4 linked regions of the Drosophila melanogaster genome follow. The protein of the gene in region 2 interacts with the protein of the main gene of each other region in a pairwise test. Each region holds a gene or a part of one and is shown on either strand. Other genes may lie near its edges.

Region 1 (6,611 bases), on a different chromosome or scaffold from region 2:
AAACGAATCGAATCGGTTTCGAGTTCGAGTTCAGTTGGGGCTACACTTGTCTTGGCCAACTATGGATTGTATCTTTCTTGTCTTCGCTATTCGGTCGCACTACAATTTATTATAAGTAATGAGACAGTGGAGAGTCGAGTTAACAATTACGACCTACGTGCGAATAACCTTCTTTCGTTAAATCATCTTGAACTTTTGGCATTTTGAGGGGAGATTATCTAAGGGTCTTGAAGTAGCTTGTTTTTAATTTTTATTTTTATTTATGAGCGAAAAATACATAAAAAATGATTATAAAGCTTATAAAGGGAAAGTCCGTGCAACTTATTAAATATGCCAAACCTACTTTATCGAACATTGTGTTTACAACGTTCTCGGTTACTAGCCAATCTTATCGTACTTCAACCTTCCTTTATTTTCCCCTTATAACAATTCTTATGTATATGTATACCCAAATAGCAATTGTTGTCTTGGAAACTCACTAGGCCCTGGACTTTAATATATACACAAAATGTGCTAAACCCAAAGAAGTCGGGGATAGAAGAGTTTTAAAGGAGTGCTATGCGTTCATATAGACAACAAACAAATGAATAAATATAAATGCAATAGCAGCTTCTTTAAAACGTGGATAATTCTCACAGTTTGTATTTGCTTTGGCAAATAAATATTGACTATTTTTTTTGCCTAATTATACAAACATACACTCATCGCGTGGATGGATATATAAAGTTTGTACACAACTGCAAATGAAAGGTAAATATAGCCGGCTTTAAAAGTATCTGTGAGTTTTGCGTTGATTAAGGCGGCGGTTAAACAAATTAGAAGAGTAAATAAGGTCTGTAAGATTAGACACGGATAAAGGTATTTTAAGGACAATATTACCTTAAAATATCCAAATATACCGATCATTTGCAATGTATTAAAAATTGTGGAAGCCAAAGCAGGCATTTTTTTTTGCTACTGGATTTTATAAAGAAGGCTGTGAAATGAATTTCAACGAGCCCTTACTTCAGATCCCTGACTAGCCCAGAATATTCGTCAGTTCAGTTCCAGCTGTTCTACTGTACGGTTCTCTTGAAAGTCGTTACTTTTTTTTATCATAAAGCTGACACCACCAAGTTATCCGGTAAATATATTTCTTGTTTTTGAACAAGGCATCGTTCGATTTTAAACCTAATAGATCTGGCTTTTCTCCGAAAATTTTCGGCATCTGCGAAGATGTCGTTGCCACGCGTTTACTTCGATATAGCCGCAGGAGGTGAGAAGTTAGGTAGAATTGTGATGGAACTACGTTCGGATGTGGTGCCCAAGACGGCGGAGAATTTCCGGGCCCTCTGCACCGGAGAGAAGGGGTACGGCTACAAGGGATCACCATTCCACCGCGTCATCCCGAATTTCATGTGTCAGGGCGGTGATTTCACTAATCAAAACGGAACTGGAGGACGCTCCATTTATGGAAACAAGTTTCCCGATGAGAATTTCGAGCTAAAGCATACCGGAGCTGGTGTACTTTCGATGGCCAATGCTGGGGCCAATACCAATGGATCTCAGTTTTTCATTTGCACCGGGAAAACCACATGGCTGGATAATAAGCATGTCGTGTTCGGCAAGGTCGTTGAGGGAATGGATATCGTCCAGAAGGTAGAATCTTACGGTTCACAAGATGGGAAGACCAGCAAGAAAGTAATTATCGAAGACTGCGGAGCCCTCTGAAGGGTGTCAATACATAATAGTGCTGTCAATCACACATTTACACTATTACACTGAAATTATACTTTTCAAGAAAACTTTGCAAAATAAAAGGGGGTGCAAAAAAATGTATTTTGTCGGTTCAACTATTTACATCGCTCTCATATGTTACGCATTTCAGACCAATTCGTTGAATAATCCGGTGCACCCTGAACAGCCCAGTTCCCTGACTCATTTTCCTTTGATTTTTCTTTCCATTACTTTTAATTGACTCAATTTAGTTCAAGAGTTGCTCACATATGTCGCTTTTGATTCTTTCCACTCGATTCTCATTCTGTCTCCCATCACCTTTCCCTCAAGCCATTCTATCCACTTTACCCGAATGCACTTTGCAAATGTCTATTAAGTCACATACACTGATGAAAAAAAAGAATTAACCACCAGTAATACATATGTATATGTTTGGTAAAGTGCACTTTACTAAATACATTCAAAAACTCAAATTGAATCCATTATTTTTTAAATATATTCTGCAATATAAGTTTTGTTTAAACAAATATTATATTTGGAAGTTAGTATTTCTTTTCAAACCTAAAAACACCTGGCTAACTATGTTATACAATGTGTATATGTGTATGTGCATATAAGCCACTCAGCAAACAAAATTTTCTTTTCTCAAGTGCATGTAATACGAATTTCCAACACTGCTAAGTCACATTAGTGGAATTTTTCTATTGCGTTCGTTTTGCTTTGGGGCTCTGTTTTTTTGTATTTCTTTTCGTTATTTTTTCGGGCACCCAAAACAAGTCGCGGCTTCTGCCGACGTCGACCGAGGCAGCGGCAGAGGAGGGGCCGCGACTTGGCGCTGGCTTTTCAGCGCTTTCCTCTCTCAGATTGCATTTAACGCTTGCCGCGTTCACAACACTAGAAAAGCGGAGCAGCGCATCGAACGGTCGCCCTGTCTCTCACTCTCTCGCGCTCTCTCGCGCGGGTGTTTTGTTGTTGGGCAATGCAATTGCCAAGGAAAAGGAAAATGCAGCTGCTGCTGCTGCTCTCCTAAGCAAAATAGCCAAATTAAAAAAGGTTCGAAATTCGAGAAAATTAACCCAAAGTTACCTCAATTCGTGTGTTTTTTGTGTGTTACCTATTATCGATCGAATTCGCTTATCAGCTGTGTCAGGTGCCTTTGGCTCATTAACCGCTTATTTAAGGAAAAATGTGAAATCAAAACAAATTCGTTAATGACAGGGTCTGTTGTGAAAACCCGTAATCAAAGTAGCCTTGTTCGGCTCATGTTTCTAATTTTCATACCCTCTGGCAAATATATTGGTTGATTGATCTTAAATTGAAAAGTGCGGTTGAATCAGTTTGCCAAGTGTTTTATCGAAACATAAAAAATGGAAATCAAGTGTGGCATAAAATTGATAAATGATACAATAAATGGGACAAAATGAAAGAAAAAATAAAATAGCTTTAAACAATTCAAAGCAATTCTTCGTTATGGGGCGTTAAAAGTTGAAAAAACACTGACGGTAATTGATGAAGTAAAACGAAGAAAGATAAGGTGATCAAATTTGCAAAACCGGCACAATGTAAATTAATTGTGCTTTTTGTGTTGATTTTTTTTATTATTAATGGAGACAAGTTTAAGTATTTTCTTAAAAAGTTTAGTAAACTTAGGAAGATGAAAAAAAAAAAATAATATTGCCTCTTTAAAAATCAAGTCTTGTTTTCATTGCTTTCGGCAGTTTCTACATTCAAAGGGAATTAAATAAATCAAGGGCTTCCACCGAGAATAACGCATAGCAGTTCCAAGTTCATTCATTATACATAACTCGTACTTCTTAATTTCTTTTACTAGGCATTTTCCGTACCGTTAAGTTTGGTAGGAAAATATTCTTTCATTAGCGATGGTTCGTCAATTAGTAGGCATATAAATCTAACGGCACAGTGCCCTAACAGCACAGAAGACAACTAACCGGAACTGAAAACTAGCACTAAAAACCAATAAGTAAAAGGCCTAAGGTAGCCGCAATAACAAAAGAACGGAAAAGACCCTCTGATGACATCAACAAAAAGGGGGTGTACGAAAGAGATGGGACGAAATGGATGGAGATTACCATCCAATCCCGCATGCGTCCCGTTACTCTTGCTTTTCGGTTCGTGTCCACGCTTATTCACTTGCGCTTTTATTTAGTAATGAGTAAAACATATACATACATACGTATGTATGCATATATGAACATATGATGGGAGGCATTTTGGGAGCGGTTGGCTTGGGGTGACCGTATATAAATTCCACATAATTATGCGCTGTCCCTGACTCAAAAACCATATGTTCAAAATAAAGGAGGCGGGCGGATTCGGCGAGAGAATCACCCTCGGACATATGGCGAAAAACTTTTCCTTTGGGGGATCGGATCGCTCTCTTTCTTCGGTCCCTTGTCATTGCTCTTGTTTGTTGATTATTATTTTTTCCTATTTATAAAGATTGCGCCTCCCCAAATTCGCTCTCCCAGTCTCTCATTTTTCTCTCTATCGCTGGCGACTGCCTCGGTTTATTTTGCCCCTGAATTTCTGGTTCATTCAGTTTGCTTTTCGCGTTTCGCGTGCTTTAATCGAAATTTGTTTTTCTCCCTCGATTGTGGTTGTAATAAAATACATAATACACCATTTTAAATAATCGAAAAAATTAGCTATTCACTTTTAAAATTGAAAAATATTTGTGAGATCGCGGCACAGATTATTGAAGATCATAAAATCGGCAGGAAAATTAAAAATATTTTAAAGGATTGCATCATTAGTTTTTGGTTCTTTTAAGCAAAAGCTTTCAAGAAAGTTATAGAATACATAATAGTACATTAAAAATAATCAATGACAATTTTTTTTCAAGTTCTTATGTATATGATTCCCATATAATTGATGCAAAGTCTTTAAATATACATTTGTTTGAAATCATGAATATTTTATGTGGTACTCAGCATTCCTGATCCAATTTCGGCTAATCATTGTATATTTTACAACCTTTTTGTTGTAACTTGTTCACTTCACTTTGTTGCATGAAAAGTGCACAGCAGCGAAGTAAAATTTGCATTTAATGAGCTCCCCTCGTTCGACTCATCCCCATTTTCACCCCTTCCTTCGTCGACCATTGTATGCAAATCTTTGTGGAATTCAATTTTGCTGAAGAGTAGCTAATGATAATTTTCTATTATGCTGTTTTTGATTGCCTGACATGGGCGAGGAAAAAATGGTTGAAGAGATATGATAATCCAAAAATATTCAGCTGACAAGAAAGGAAAGTTTACTTCATTAGCAAATTAGTTTTAGTTGAATTGAAATCAGATTATTCGGTTACTTACTGTACTTGTATTGAAGGAATTGGATTGTATTTTGATAAGGGTTTCCAAATCATTTGTAATAAAGTTGTATTTTATTTATTTGAATGCTTATTTCGTAAATCAACTTGGAATCATTCAAAGCAAATAAAGTTCTTTAAAAAGTAAAATCTTTATCAGTCATGCCCTGCTTTTAATTGGCCCTCATATTGACCTTTATTTAAATTTGTATGTGATAACGTGAAAATGAAGCTTTGACAAGGGCACCTTAACTATACACGTCGCCGAACGATTTGATAAGACTAAGAATGATTCAGTTTACTAGACTACAAAAGTAAACAGCACGCCACAAATTCCAAGTAAAAGAAAAGCAAACTTAGCCAGCCATTGCATTTTCTGGTAATTAGAAACTAGGCGGGAATTCAAAACCTGAGGAACAAAATAACAATGAAAATAGGGAGAGGTTGGAAAATAGCTGTACGACGAGGATATGTAAAATTGTCTAGAATTCTGCTCAAAGTCTGAACAAAATAATTTTACGGTCTGTTGGTTCTAAAAAAAAAAGAAGAAGTAAAGAGAGGGTTGGCTTATATAATGTATACTGTGACTAGCACACTTAATGCCAGAAAAAAGAATGCTTTTATCTGTGTAATCTTCTTATTTTTTTTTTAATATTTCTTATACCAATGCAATAATAATGGAAGGTAAAAACAATTTGTGGTAGATCAGTTTGTGGCAGGAAACAGCTGTTGTATGTCGCGACTTTTGTCTCTTTCCCTTCGTCTCTAGCCCTCCTTGTCGTTTTCCCCAGTCTGTAAAATGGGGTTAGCATGTTGTTTCAGTTTCACCTTTTAGTTCTTTGTCTTAGCGTGGGCGGTCGTCCGAAAGGTTTATTGCCATGTAAAATGCAACAACAGAAGAAATAATTGCAAATGCAAACTGCAACACCAGGCCAAGAAATCGAGGTTAGACGGGGTAATTGGCACGAATTTGTTGCCAAGTTGAAATATTGGAAGTTTTCTAGGGGTTCGTAGGAATACAAAAGTTCGAAAGAAACTAGCCACTTATATATAGATTAGAATACATAAATGATGAGGGTCCGGAAGTAACTACCCACTTAAATGTATATTAGAATACATAAATGAGTAAGTGCATCCGAATTTCGGAAGTGGTGTGATTCATTTATGGGTATGCTTCGATCACATTAATCTTCTTGATTTTTAAATTCCCCAAATATTTTTCCGAGCAACCCCAGAAATCTATTTACGATCCACCCTATCCCAACTTAACCATGACTTGCTACCTCAGCTAATACCTCAGTCACAAATGTGAGCTATTTATGCTAAACAAGTCAATCTTTATGGCTCCACATAAATGCTTTATCTGGGAACGCATAAACTCGAATAGTTCCCGAGATAGCGCGTGTGCATTCATTATGGGATCCCCCATTTAAACTCAGATATTTCAGCTGAACTCCAAACATTCCTTTAGTTCGGATTTCGAGCGTTAGGCGATGAAAGATGCATCATAAAACGTGTCTGCTACTGCATAAAATTCCGAAAATATTGCAGTTGAAAATAGAAATTG
Region 2 (5,529 bases):
ACGCGCGCGCGTCCGGCCGAGATCGCTCTCTGGGGTTGCTGGGACGATTGATAAGCAAAGCTTCGTGCGATAAGCAGCAAACTGAACTTAAAACAGAGTGAAAATAAATTTAAAAGTTCCCAGAAAAGTATGTATGTATACTAATCTATTTATTACTATTTTAATTTGGTGGTGGTAGTGGTTTAGTAATCCGCAGCGGTGTTAGATAGGTAGTCGCGACGTCCTATGTTTGAAGCTTGCTTGTTCTGAACAGCCTCAAGTTTTGGGCACTCCGTGATGCGATGGCCCAGACCACCACAGTAGGTGCAGCCATGCGAGTCACCCAGGTCCAGGTGCTGGTGTTCGGTCTCAGGTGCCAGTTCGTCCAAGAAGTCCGGGACCTCTTGCTTGCCCTCGATTAGCAGGTGCTTCAGGTCGAGCAGAACCGACTGCTCGGTAGTCTTGTTTATCAGCGTCGTAGCCAATCCCTTAGTGTTGGAACGACCTGTGCGGCCAATACGATGCACATAGTTTTCAATATCGTCCGGCATGTCGTAGTTAATAACGTGTTGCACGTTAGGGAAGTCCAGGCCCTTCGATGCCACGTCGGTGGCCACCAGCACATCTTTTTTGCCCACGCGGTAAGCATCGACTGCCCGCGATCGTTCTTCCTGATCCTTTCCGCCGTGAATAGCCACCGCCTCCACGCCTTTCAACAGCAGATACTCATGTATGCAGTCTACATCCTGCTTCTTCTCAGCAAAAATGAGCACGGGCGGCGCGGTCTTCTGTAGGCAGTCCAGCAAATATACCACCTTTGCCTCTTGCTTAACGTACTCAACCTGTTGGGTGACGTTCATTGACGCAGCACCTGCGCGACCCACATTTATTGTGACAGGCTTCACGAGAGCTGATCGAGCAAAGTTCTGGATCTTTTTTGGCATGGTGGCAGAGAATAAAAGTGTCTGTCGCTGGCCTTTGAAGAAAGAGAATATCGTACGAACGTCCTCTTCAAATCCCATGTCAATCATGCGGTCAGCCTCGTCCATGCACAAGTACCGGCACATGTCCAGCGTAAGGATCTTCTTGTCCAGCATATCCATTAGACGACCAGGGGTCGCCACCACAATATGTACGCCGCGTGAGATGACGTCAAGGGCCTCGCTGACCGGCAAACCACCCATGGCCAGGCAGGAACGAATCTCAGGCATTCCGCATGCCTGGAGGTGCTTGCTGTAGTGTTGAATTATCTCGTGTGTTTGCTTGGCCAGTTCGCGGGACGGGCAAATGATCAGGCCGTAGGGGCCCTCGTTACGCTCAAAAGGCAGACTATACTCCTGTTCCAGGGCAAACATGATGACTGGCAGCACGAAGACAAGCGTTTTTCCAGACCCAGTGAAGGCTATTCCAATTAGGTCGCGGCCGGCTAGTACAGTGGGCAGGCCTTGCACTTGGATTGGGGTCGGGTTCTTAATGCCTTTGGCCGCTAAGCCGTTAAGTATACCTTTAGGGAACTTCATTTCCCGGAAGCTGCGAATTGGCGGGCTGGGGGTTTCTCCCTCCACTAGGATCCTCAACTCGTGGCGAACGGCCTCGCGCTCTTCCTCCGACATTTCCCGAATGTAACGCGGCGGTTTCCAAGCTGTTTTAATAGGCTGCTCGTACTGAATCCCCTTCGCCAACTCTGCCACACCCATAAGGGCCTTCTGCTGAGCAATGCTCTCCATAATCTTTTCCTCCTCTCGCAGCTGCTTTTCGACGGCACTCAACTTTTTGGCCTCGGCAATTTTCTTCAGTTCTGTGTGCTGGTCCAGCAGACTAATGTTGTACTTGCGTCCCCAGGTCTCGACATCGTGCGCACCCTGCGAGTCGTCTTCATTCTCATTCTCGCTTGACGACTTGGGCTGGGCCGTTTCCGAAACCAGTTGCACGATCCTGCCCAGCTTTATCATGTGCTGCTTCTTCCGCTCCTTCACCGGTACGTATGGCACGTAGTCCTCGTTGTCCAGGTCGCCTTCCTCCGAGGACTTAGACGACCTCCGATACCGCTTTACGTGCGCCATAGCATTCGATCTATATTTCTGATTTTTGTTTGTTTCGTTTTCGCCTAATTTGACTACAACAAAGGCCACCGTACGACGTTTTAAATTAGGCGAGCCCGAAAAATACTATATTCTAATGGGTATCGATTACAGTTATTAAACAGTGATTCCACTGACAGCTTCTTGCTTATGATATATTCATGGCATGCAGACCGGATAATAGTTTTTTTTTCAATTTGGGCAAAATCTTTCGATTTCGTTTTTAGGTGCTCTGGTTTTCTGAGTTTGAGATTGAGTCTTTCTTTTTTTGTGAAAACCAAGCAACGTGAAAAATGCAACTTTTAGCGCGAAGGTTGCCATACTGTTGGTGAAATATAACAGGCAGGTAAAAATACTTAGTAAATATATTTAAAGCAGGGCCAAAAGTGCTGTTCGTAAATAATGATAATTAATTGAATAACATAAGTGGTCAGAGCGCAGTGAATACGTAACTGCGAACATCGGAATTAAAAGTGCCAAAAACTCTGTGTAAATCGCCCAGAAACATTTTATATGAACTTATGCGTGCTATCAAAAGTGTTTCAGGAACATTTCTGTTAAACGGTTAGCGAACATGAATAGTACAGAATAGTAGAATATCGTATTGATCGGTTTCGGATCAGTCGAATGCAATATATTTTTGTGTGCATTTGGGTATAGATATATATTCTAAGCAGTGTGAATATGCTATTAAATTCAATAAATTATATCGATTGCTGACTTTGAACTAACTGTCTGCTTCTGGCTCAACTTATCGATATTGGTATATCACTCGCGACACACCACCATTTTCGACAAGTAGAAAGCGAATGAGCATTGTCTAAATTTAGCTCGGATTTTAAGTGCAAGGTACATAAGTGCCGCTGCTATGTCTATGTCAAAAACGACTAACACCTATAACCGGCAGAACTGGGAAGATGCTGAATTCCCAATTCTGTGCCAAACTTGCCTTGGCGACAATCCGTACGTGCGGATGATTAAAGAGCGGTTCGGCAAGGAATGCAAGATATGCACGCGTCCATTCACAATATTTCGATGGTGTCCTGGTGCTCGTATGCGCTTCAAAAAGACGGAGATATGTCAAACGTGTGCGCGCCTGAAGAACGTGTGTCAGACCTGCCTCTTGGACCTGGAGTACGGACTGCCGATTCAAGTACGAGATGCGGCGCTCAAAGTGGCTGACAATATGCCACAAAGCGACGTTAACAAGGAATACTACATCCAAAACATAGACGCCCAGCTGCAGGACGGAGATGGCACGGAGGCGGCAGGAGCTGTCGGTCGATCCCTCGCCGCCAACGAGATGTTGTCCAAGCTTGCGCGCACAGCACCCTATTACAAAAGAAATCGGCCGCACATCTGCTCCTTTTGGGTTAAGGGCGAGTGCAAGCGTGGAGAGGAGTGCCCATACCGCCACGACAAGCCCAACGAGCCGGACGATCCGCTATGTGAGCAAAACATCAAGGACAGGTACTACGGACGCAACGATCCTGTGGCCGAGAAGATCATGAAGCGTGCAGCCTCGCTTCCCACACTCGAGCCGCCGGAGGACCGCAACATCACAACTCTCTATGTGGGGAACCTTCCTGAAGAAATCACGGAACCCGAGCTGCGAGATCAGTTCTACCAGTTCGGCGAAATTCGATCAATTGCGCTGGTGCCACGCCAGCAGTGCGCTTTTGTGCAATACACCAAAAGAAACGCTGCCGAGCTGGCTGCTGAGCGGACCTTTAATAAACTGGTGATCCAGGGCCGGAAGGTGAGCATTAAGTGGGCTCACTCTCAGGCAAAGCAGGGCACCGCTGCAAAGACAGACAGACGCTTCGACTTGGCCGGCATTCCACCGCCTAGCGCGAAGCCCAACGACTACTTCAATCTTCGCCAAGAGCAAATCAATGTCATGCCCGCCGGCATGAAGCTGCATCAGTTGCCATCAAATCTAGTTCCGGCGTCGGCTTACCAAATGTATGGTCAGCCTACTTATGCAGCTCCCTACGGAAACGCCACTTCCACAGCCCTTTCTTCCTCGGGTGTCAATTTGGATTCCATATCGATTCCTCCGCCACCGGGTCAAGTACCGTATCCAAGTCAGGACGCCAGTCGGATGGGAGCTGTTAAAAAGTAGGAAAACCCTGTGGTCTACAATGGTTCCAATTCAATAAATCATTTTTATAAAATTAAATACAAACTTTTTAAAGTGGTCAGTTCCATAAAAATGACTTAATATTAATAGAATTTATCCGTATGGACGAAATTGTTTTCGATTCGAATTGTTAAGAAAAAACACCAAACAATTAGAGAGGAGAAGATAATAATAAATGATTTAAACTCTAAAAAAAAAAAGAAAAAAAGAACAAATTTTCGTCACAAAAGCTTATATCAAAACTTTTGTACATATGTATGTTGATGTGCGTTCGTCACTCGTTTTTACCTTTAATAAATGCTTTTCTTTGATTTGGACGATATTTGGGATTAAAAAAAGTACACCAATGCACATGTACATATGTAAGTTCATTCTTCAGTATTTATAGGGGAACTTAACATTGGGATTATGACTACCTCCCTGCATTCCATTCATTCAGATTTCATCAGCTCATTACTGATCATTAAAAATCTCGATCAAATTAATCACAGGTTAATTTGTATTAAAAAAAAAAACCATGACCTGAACCTATGTTCTAGGAAATCATCGCATAGCGCAAAATCAAAATCACGCATAAGCGCTATAAATGATAGCTCAATTCATCTCTCTACACCTCTTTTTATTCACTTAATCCTCTATCAATTTTAATGAAAAAGTGAAATTTCAGTCATTTATTAATAAAAATGTATTTTCTTAATTAGACTTATTTAAATTATGCATAGGATTTAAATTTAAGAATACAAATACATATATATGTATGTGAAATTCCAGAGTCTTTGGCGTCCTGTCCTACGGAGTTAGGACCAGCTTCTTTTCAGTTCACATGTCCGATTTACCTTAAGGTAAAATAATGTATAATTATGTATACAAAAACGAGTTAAACCAATTTACCTTAAATTATCGTTTCTGTGAGTAGTGTTTGTTGCTTATTGTAAAATAAATCCATTACCTGTAATTATTATTGAATTAAATTCCAAAATATTTACAATTTTTTTTTAAAACAAGCACTCAAAATCGCGTCTACTTCTCACAAAAGTCTATAGGCAAGTGATCTGCAAACATGTTCTATGTACATTACAAATTTAAAATTTAAATTTAAATTTGCAATTAAATAAAAAATCGCATACTGAGACCTTCGGTTAGAAATTAAAAAGCGATGAATTTGTTTTCAAAATCATCGCTTATTCCTCGTTATGATTAAGAACATTAGCATCGCTTTAAAATTTTAAGAGAGAGATGATGTAATATTTTTTAATAGCGATGAATTGTGGGACTACAGGGTAGGTAAAGGTTACATATGTACAGGTGCGAGCAGTGCAAATATGT
Region 3 (4,289 bases), on a different chromosome or scaffold from region 2:
GTCGCCCTGCGGCTGGAAGCCATTCTCGTCCGCCAGATAGGTTATCCGAATCGGAATGCCCTCGGGTGAGGTGTACGAGAAGGAGCCCTGTGCGACCTTTGGAGCGGTAAAAGGGCAAATGCAAGTTAGTGCTCGTTTCGTTTGGCCAACTGGTAGCCGGCAAATGCCAGGCACGACTGTGAATGGAGTTCTCCTACACCCACCTGGCCGGCATTATCGGTGCCTGGATTCTTGAGGTAGCCCTCCTCCTCGGCGTTGATGCCGTTGCCCGTCTCGTACAGATACTTGTAGGAGCCGTCGAAGTTGACCTCCTGCTCCTGTCTGATAATTGGAATGGGTTCTCCCGGCGCTTGGCCTCTCACTTGTGGTCTGGCCTGGGCCAAGCTGAGCAGCAGGGCTGCTATGAAGAGCAGCTGAAAGCACGCGGATGCGATATCAGCATGGAGTATACCCAAGTTGATCTCTTCCATCTTACTGTGTATTGCATGTCGAACCGAGCTGTATCCTGTGATCCTGGGTCCTGGTCGTCTGCTCCGAGTTCGTCTCGATCCGTTACTGTGGTCAACAGAGGCGACTCTTTGCATATTTATACCAAATCGCTTGAACTTTTGCACACAGACACTATTGCAGTTGGAGATTAAAGAGTGAACGCCTAGCATTTTGAAGACCCGCCGATCGGAAGCCTCTTTTAGGTGGCTCTTGTCGGAGGCCAATACCATCTCCCATGGAGCGCAAATGAACCGAACCGGACCGGACCGAATCGAATCGAATCCACCTACAAGTGCACGACCCATCCGATATGCTGCAATTTGTCGAATGAGTTGTCTACATGACAGCCACAGTGGGGACTCTACTTTATCATTAGAGCAAAGAAAAATATAGTTTAGTATAATATCTCACAACATTAAGTTGTTATGCTGGAAGTTATCATCAGCACAGTTGCATCTTCAATTGCTTGCTGCAATAGAAACTATCCTAGCTAGCCATCGCCCACTGTGCACCTGTATTGCGAGGGGCGTTGGAGGCACTATGATCATCTCGGATCGTGTTGAACATGACCAGCTTGACATTCATAACTCATCCTCGGCAGCGTGAGAGGAATAGGGACAGACTGCTGCATTCCTACATCAATTTGTCAGTGCAGTCATTAGACATTTGACTCAACGGCTTGATGATCATCATTGGCGGGATTATGACTGCCACCTGACCATGATCATGTCTGGCTGGCCAACTGACTTACTCACCAGCTAACTGAATGTGGCAAGTGCCGCTTGACCTTTGCGGCAGCCGAACAGATGTTTCTTGAACAGGTCCGGCCAAAAGGCGGTAATGCCTGAGCCGGGGCGTTCCGTTGCCAGTTGAGCAAATGTCAGTTACCGCCGAAGTAGAAATGGAGGTGGAGGTGGAAGTAAAGCCCCAAATGTCCCACCGCCCAATGCTACGTGAGATGGTTAACTTCGATTGCGGTATTGTGTGAGAGCAAGAGACGGCGCTTGTTTGTTTTTTGGTATTTGGTGTTTTTATTTGGCTATTCAGGTGATGAGGATCGTATCAAGTGGCAGCATCGTGGATCGGATGGGCGGCTCTATCCGGACTTCTTGTTGAACAGCAGGGACAGGAGCTGTTGCTTGATTGGCTTAGTGGTGGTGGTGTCCGTGGTGTAGGTGTAGGTGGGGTAGGTCGGGGTGGTAGTATAGGTGTACGTCGTCGTCGTGGGCGAAGAGGGCGTTGTGGGAGTGCTGGTTGTAGTTGCGGTAGATGCCATTGCGATGGCCAGGACAGCGGAGAAACAGACGAGGACAGCGAAGAACTTCATGTTGATTGGATTTTTTGGGCTTTTAGGATTGCTGGCTGGCTGTTGCTTATCGACGGACGAGCTGCTGAACTCTGAGTGTGTCTTTCGCTGGTCCAGGCCTCACTATTTATACCCATATTTTGACTGCGGCAGTCGTAGTATTCCCTGTAATGTTTGCACAAATGGTTCCTTTACCGTTTGCTACATTGCTAGCTTTCCCCCACCAATGTTTACCGACCAACTCATTGTGAAATGCATCCAATGTTTGATCCCCTTCCATTTTCCGAAAAATAAAAGTTTTTCGGGTTGGGAGTGTCAATGACTTGGTATTCTTATTAGCTAACTATCCTAGAATATATGCCGTTCGTAGCTACTGGGCCACTCCATCGAGAAGGCAAAGTCCGGAAGTGTGGCAAGGAACTCCAGGCTCAACGCATCCCGCTTATCATGTGGACTGACATAGTGTCCAGAGACGCCCATCTCAAAGACGGGTTCATTGAAGTTGCCATCGTCCTTCTAAGAATCAGTTAGTTAGTATAGTTATCAGAACGACCCATTAAATACGCACAGAAAGTTCCACGAAGAATTCGATGGGAGTGTTATCAATACCGTAGGTTAACATGACCTCCAGAGGAGGCCTGTAAGTGGCCGGATTATCCAGCATTGCGGGAGCAAACGTCCATCGGAGTAGTTTTACACCATCCAGTGGCTTGAAGAACAGACCCATATTTGGCGGACCAGTTAGCCGGAACTCATAGCGCACCTGATAGCCACCGGACAGAACTGTCTTGCTAAGGAACTCCAAGACCGTTGGATAAGGCAGTTCCACGGGCTCCTCTCGAGCAAGCCAAAGTGCATGCTCCCGGGCACTACAATATCGGTAGCAGGGAATACCGCACATCAGCTCGGAGTCGCAATCCTCGCCCAGGCGTACCAGGTTGGTCAGGTTCATGTGATCGCGCAGAGGTGCCTCTTTGTTTCGATCCCCCAGATGGAAGTAGTAGCCAGAATCCTCGTGGCTGATGGAACCATTGTACTCGAAAAATTTGCGATGCACTTGCTGCTCCGACAAAGAATAGAACTTAGTCGTCTTTCAAAGGATGCTTATTAGTGTTTCCCTTACCATGAAGTCGGCACGCATGACATTTGTTTTGGGCCGATACGGGAATCCGACATCCGAGACGGCAATCATGCAGAAAATAAACATAACCAGTGCCAGACCACCCAGCATGCAGTTCGGTCGCCGAAAGACATTGATTAAAGGAGCCTAAGTGAAACTGATTAAGTAAAGTAGTCAATAAATGTGAATAACTTTCTTACAGCAAAAGATAACGCCAAAATTGTGCCAAAACCACATAGAGCGCCGATTAGTATATCCGGATTGGTGGAGACGCCAAAGCGACCAGTCATCGGAATGAGAATAAGTATGAACATGTGGAACAAGTAGGCGTGGTAAATGAAGGGTATAATCTGGAAAACAATCAGCACCAGTGACCACAGATAACCTAAAGTGTTGGCATGAATCATTAAAAGTTCTCCACGAATATATAAGCTAACTTACCGCGACAATGGAGACGGGTCAGTAGGTTAATGATCAGAGCAGCAACGTAGAAAATGAGAGAGATCAGAAATAGATAGGCACTACGGTATTTAAGAGCCGTTGCACCCAAACACAAGATGGCCAAAAGGACACAGTTCGCGTGACCCACAATATGCAAGTAATAAGTATGGGGGATCTTGTTCTGCAGAGGATAGCTTAGTATAACAAAATAACTTCGTTAACAAGTGATACTACTTACACACTTCGTATGCGTCAAGTAGAGGGTCATGGGCAGTACAAGGCCAATAACCGATGGACAAATGTACAACCCAATGACCAGCCAACTGTTGCTAAAATAGGTCAACGTTCTATTTCCCCAATCATAAAAGGTGGCCATCAGCAGAGGAAAGGCCACGGCGAGGAGAGCACCAGCTAGGGCTAGCAGGAATAGGAGTCCAAAGACGCCGGCATAGGTGCCCATAGTCTGTCCAGTAACCCGGGACATTCGCCACAACGAGATGCAGACCAGCAAAATGGCACCGAACGAGAAGAAGAGATTCAGGGCCAAGCTAGTCGACTCCTGGTAATGGACAAAGAACAGTCCAATAAAGTCGAAGAATACTGCATGTCCCGCCGCGTGTGCCTGTTGAAAGATTACCATGAAAAATGGACAAAAGCCACTCGAAAGAGGAAACCCACCTCTGTGTCGTACATTTCTTCGGCATTCGAAATACTCCATACCAAGGCCAGTAAATTGTCGCCGGAATTCTGCAGGGAATCGAGACTTATCACCGCGTAGCGATCGAATTTCGTGTGATAAACGAATCCATTGTACACGCCGGCCATGTCCAAGCCTGAAAGAGAAGAGCTCCTGAGTAGTGTGGTTGAAAAGGATATTTTCTTGCGCCGAGATTCCCACCTGGCACAACTCCAAAGTCCCGAAAGATCCGGAAA
Region 4 (5,243 bases), on a different chromosome or scaffold from region 2:
CAATAATTTTTTTGTTGATTTCTATAAAATTGAAATAAAACATGGACTATAATATCCACAAAATATGCAGAGTTTGCCTGGAGGAACTACATCCTGTAACTTCGATATATAGTACAGACTTTGCTATGATGCCCTCCGTAATGTTGATGCAATGCGCTAAAATAAGAGTGGGTTCTAAAAACAAAATATTTCAATGTTAATTGGCATATGGAAATTGTTTTAGGTTTTTAAAACCGATGGCCTACCTTCGGTGATCTGCAACAACTGTATTTACCGGCTGGGGGTGGCCTTCCACTTCAAGCAGGAATGCGAAAACAGTGATCTCCGACTGCGACAATATCTGGGCATTCTGGAATCCTGGCGCCAGGATGCGGCCACCAATACGGACTTTGTGGAGAAGCCGTTGCTTCCGCAGCGCGATAGCGATGAAGAGGAACCCGTGGATGCCAAAGTGAGCAAGAGGCGGTCGCGCTATCAAAGAAAGCCGCCAGAAGAGCACAAAAAACGGGGGCCCAAACCTGTGCCAAAGATGCCCCACACCTGCTACGAGTGCCACAAAAGCTTCAAATGCATTGCCCAATTAACACAGCATATAAGAACACATACTGGCGAGAAACCCTACCAATGCAGCTTTTGTATCCAGAGATTCGCCCAAAAGTACAATCTTAAAGTCCACGAAAGAACGCACACGGGCGACAAGCCTTTTCAGTGTGAGATCTGCTCAAAGCAGTTTTCCGCGTTAGGCAATTTCCAGGCGCACCAGAAGATTCATTTAGGAGTGCGGGATCAGGTATGCTCGCTATGTCAGAAAGGTTTCTACACCGCCGGTGATCTCTCCAAGCACATGATAACCCATACGGGCATCAAAAACCATCACTGCGATGTCTGCGGCAAGGCTTTCAGCAGGCGAAGAGATATGCGGACTCATAAATTGAAGCTTCATCCTCTGGAGTCCAGTACAAACCATGATATAGTGGATGATGATGATGATGAGGCTATAGACACGGATCCCGTGGGTCTGGACACCCTCGATCACGCCCACTTCAAGTGTCCGGATTGCGACAAGGCATTTGATACGGCGGACAGCCTAAGTCTACATTTTCGCACGCATGCGGCGAATAATAATCTACTGAATTTGCCGTTGCCTCCTGCACCACCTATGTCGCATCACTACCATCACGATGCACTGCATCATCTCGGCCCACCGAATCCCGCCACACAAATGGGAATGGCTGCAATGGCTCACATGTTGGCACCGCCGCCGCCTCCACCGCCAACGCCAAGTGAAGGACGTTACACTATGCTGCACCACACGGCGGCACAAAGACTACATTATTAGAGTATAGCTACGAAGATTTATCTTAATCATAATTATTGTTTTAGATTATGTTTTGATATTGAACACTTTTATTTAGTTTGTCTATATAAAATGGAATATTTTGTCATGTTTGCTTTTATATCTTTACAATAAATACATGTAGAAATTTGGCAAGCACAGCTTCTATTAAGATTATTACTTAAATGCAAGAACTAAAATCACTAAAAACTCCCCGCGCGTACTTGTCGCATACTTGTCGTCGATATAAAAATGTCATTGTTGTATAAACTAAGCTTGATTTGTGTTTTCTGTAGGTAAAAATTGTAGTATCTCAATATTGGTTTGTTTGGTATTGGTATGCATCGTTGGTATCGGCTTAATCCAGTTTGAATATGTATATAAAAAGCTCAAAAATCAATCAGAGAACTATCATAAAATATTGCTTTTGACAACGGCCCGGATTGATTGATCCCAGAGATCGAAACCTCTCTACTTGAGCTTGGCTTTCAGCCACTCCTCGGTGAGTTCGTCTAGTTCGCGTATCTCGTAGACGCGTGTGAGATCTACTTCGCGCTGAAGAGCGCTCTTCGTGCAGGCGTACATCATCTGCAATTCGATCTGAAACAGAGAGTTATGAATTATAGAATATATTTGAGCATTGCTAAACTCCCACCTGGCTATCCCTGGGTGTGTAGAATATGAAGCACATTGGGTACGAAATGCGCTGATCGTCATGGACCATTTTATACGTATAGATGACATATCGGGGCTGGTGTCCTGGCAATGTATCCTGCAGCTCGTCCACCGAAATATCGTCGATGAACTCGTCCAGCACCACCGTTTGCTTCTCCCGGTCGACTTTCACTGCAAGGGACAATGGAGTGGTCATAAAAACTACACACATCTGTTACCATGACAATCAAGGCTTACATATCAAAGCCGCATTATTTTTGCTCTTGCTGAATCGAAACTTCTTCAATTCCTCCAGAACTTCGTTGCTTATGTCGCATATCTGGTTATCACTCTGTATGAAATCGATATAATTGATTAATGAATTGGAATCACCAAAGTTATCTGCTAACAACAATCGTCGATTGAAAAACAAAAACAAAAACACGCCCACACTCTATTAGTCATGTTTTCATTTTGGTAATTGATTTCCGACCCTATATACACTTCCTACCATAACTTTAGCTATGAAGTTAGGGATGCGATCTGTAAAGTGTGCTGCACTACCGAATTTTTGGCAGTTAATTGTAGGAATGCAATATCACTTGTCCTTAAGGAATCGTTTAAATACTGTCGTTTATTCTGAGTTTTGTTTTGTTGTTCCTGCAGTGAGACCGTTCACTGAACGCCAAATAATATTCTGTGCTGCATCAAAAATATGTGAAGTGTTGTTAAACGACGTTTCTGATAAATTAAAAAATAATAACAATATTTGCTAAAGGTTTTTTTTTCATTAAGCTTTTTTCTTTACGGCAACATTGGTATTATTTATGGAATTTATTAAAAATAATTGAAATGTATTTTTTAGATTGAAATAGGAACGCTCTTTTTTAAAAATGTTTTGTAGATATACTTAAAACTTATCATTATTTTATAGTAGGTAAAAATCGTTCGTATACGATATTTGGATCATGTTTGTCCTCTCTAGTGGCTGATGGACTGTCAAAAAAGTACCGTTACTTTAGGGTTGTTACAGAGAGCACTAACTTATAAATAGTTAATACTATAATCTATGTGCTTAATGTCGTAGTTACAATGAGCTTGAATTTATATGAGAGCAACATCCTTAATTCCTGCTGGAAAGCGGGAGGGCGCAAACCGAGGAAATCGGCATTTGGCCAACTTAATCGAAATGAGATCGCTGATGTGGATGTAGTCGCCTGCTGGTAATTAAATATTAAATATAATGAATTTTTTTAACATTTCATTATATTCAATTGTTTTCAACATTTATCTACATTTCAGCAAGCAAATCACCGAATTAATTGAGGAAAATGCATTAAGAAAACGCCAGAAACGATCCAATGTTTTGGCCGCAAGAAACCGGCAAAATGTTATTTTCAAGGACATTTCCCGCTTGGTTTTTGGAGTTGCGGATATTTTTAGATGCCAAGTGGATCTACTTTTGGGTAAGTATTAGTCCGAATATTACGTAACATTGATATATAATCACGAATTCTTACAGGGGACACGAAGGTATTACTTGACCAATGTACACGTACCAACTTGGATTACGTTCTCACCACAACAAAATCCGTAGTGGTCAACAAATCAGAGATTCGAATCCAACGCAAAGGAAAGCGGGTGATCACCAAGAAATCTAAAGTAACAGTATCAAAACGTCCCAGACTGCAGGAATCGGATCTATTGGATGAATTCTCACATGAATACTACGAGAAGATGCTATCCGAATGCCAGATGTGGCAAACGGAGTGCACACAACAGGTGGTGGAGGACCTGAACGAGGTTAGTCGTCAATATACTGTTGGACTGCTTCCTTATATGATTTCATTTTTCGCAAAAAGTCTATTGAACAACCCCGGAGTTGCACTCAGTCAAAGTCGTATCATTCCATTACAATCACCGAAGAGATTGAACTTCCCGAAGATCATAGCTTAATTATGCCATCAAATGGTTTTGGCGAAGCCGAGGGCGCGGACTTAACCATTTTTCAAGAGCTTTACCCCAAAGATGGCACACGGAACTCACGTAAGAATTCTCAATTCAATTGAAAATGTAATAAACTATTTTTTTGTATTATAGTAAAGCGACACTCAATAGCTCAGGATCCAACTGACATCTTACCGGATAAAATGCCCAGATTGGATGATTGCGATGTTTTCCAAGCTGACAATGCTATCATGACCCAAATCTTTCCGCATAACATTGAACCAGCTGAAGTAACTCAGATAGTTTGTGAACCGTCGTTGCCATCCGTTTTAAATTCTTTTGGAGAAATAACATTTAGCCACCCGAAAAATCGGAAAAGAAAGCTAATAGTAGACAAACGAATTGAATACACCCGGGAGCAGCTGGTGAAGCATAGACAGAAATATATGGAAGAATACCTTTCAAGGAATGTGATAGTGCCAAAATCCTCGGATTTACGGAAACCCCCTAAGGAACTTCTCTGTAAACTGTATAATAAGTAGGAGCCTTATACATTTTGCTATTTAAAACTTTTTAATTTTTTGATGTAGTGTAAGTTTTTTAGCTCTTCATAACCACTCCGGACCTAAGCTCAGTAATGAAGAAAAGGAATTCGAGGCAGAAAACACATTGAGAACCATATTTGGCTGCGAGTTTACCGAGAATCTTTCTAAAGAGATATTTGTGCGACCATCGCAGGCTACAAAATGTAGGGATAAAGCGGCACATATCTATCAGCCCGAACCGCTTGAAGTGGAAGACTGTGTGCAACCTCAACTTCAGCCACGTGATGATGTAAATCAGAATTATCATAATGAAATGAATGAGCACGGCATATACCGTGAGGATAATCATGATGGTGAGTTCAGCCAATGTTTACAACATGCTATCGTAAATAAAATATAATCTCATTGCAGATACCTACAGCGTAATGATGAGTCTCTTAAGCATTTGGCGTAATAATCCGAAAATCACGGGAATCGATGCCATTGATTTTATAAAAACGTTTGATAGTCGCATCAAGGCTTCGTTAGCCTTTCTCCATTTGTTGTGTGAGTTCGAAAAAGAACAAAATGTGTGTTGGAAATAACGTATAGCTTAAATTTCAGATCTTGTTCGAGACCATTTTATAGAGATATCAAAGCGAGCTAATTCGCTGGAAATGTACCAAATTACTCTTGGCAAAGAGTCCGCTAAGCTAATAGACAATCTTATGCTGAGTGAGACTCTGTGAATATTTTTAGATAATTTTTTTCAAGATTACCAA

The links.
Region 1: the proteins of CG14641 (region 2) and nuf interact in a two-hybrid assay, tested with the Drosophila melanogaster proteins (one large-scale study listed by BioGRID).
Region 3: the proteins of CG14641 (region 2) and CG13159 interact in a two-hybrid assay, tested with the Drosophila melanogaster proteins (one large-scale study listed by BioGRID).
Region 4: the proteins of CG14641 (region 2) and GMF interact in a two-hybrid assay, tested with the Drosophila melanogaster proteins (one large-scale study listed by BioGRID).

What each region holds. Positions count from the first base shown.
Region 1 is NT_037436.4:14,217,168-14,223,778, forward strand, and holds the start of nuf (nuclear fallout), read left to right. Parts: upstream 1-2,574; 5' UTR 2,575-2,769; intron 2,770-4,272; exon of another isoform or gene 4,273-4,333; intron 4,334-6,611. Other genes in the region: CG7768 (uncharacterized protein), read left to right, coding at 1,216-1,710.
Region 2 is NT_033777.3:4,229,642-4,235,170, reverse strand, and holds CG14641 (uncharacterized protein), read left to right. Parts: upstream 1-2,828; 5' UTR 2,829-2,928; coding exon 2,929-4,185; 3' UTR 4,186-4,392; downstream 4,393-5,529. Other genes in the region: abs (abstrakt), read right to left, coding at 183-2,042.
Region 3 is NT_033778.4:12,372,896-12,377,184, reverse strand, and holds CG13159 (uncharacterized protein), read right to left. Parts: upstream 1,900-4,289; 5' UTR 1,817-1,899; coding exon 1,586-1,816; 3' UTR 1,507-1,585; downstream 1-1,506. Other genes in the region: Cpr49Aa (cuticular protein 49Aa), read right to left, coding at 1-96, 204-413, 476-487; CG13160 (uncharacterized protein), read right to left, coding at 2,144-2,311, 2,364-2,855, 2,919-3,062, 3,116-3,300, 3,357-3,537, 3,595-3,978, 4,035-4,189, 4,255-4,289.
Region 4 is NT_033779.5:16,300,270-16,305,512, forward strand, and holds GMF (glia maturation factor), read right to left. Parts: upstream 2,686-5,243; 5' UTR 2,505-2,685; coding exon 2,502-2,504; intron 2,343-2,501; coding exon 2,249-2,342; intron 2,183-2,248; coding exon 1,992-2,182; intron 1,937-1,991; coding exon 1,808-1,936; 3' UTR 1,387-1,807; downstream 1-1,386. Other genes in the region: CG17328 (uncharacterized protein), read left to right, coding at 42-167, 224-1,339; c(2)M (crossover suppressor on 2 of manheim), read left to right, coding at 3,083-3,213, 3,293-3,456, 3,513-3,793, 3,853-4,036, 4,091-4,475, 4,528-4,835, 4,894-5,028, 5,086-5,210. UniProt on the Drosophila melanogaster protein: Inhibits Arp2/3-mediated actin nucleation. Together with flr, promotes Arp2/3-nucleated actin filament array disassembly. Promotes debranching. Regulates lamellipodial protrusion dynamics possibly by facilitating lamellipodial retraction.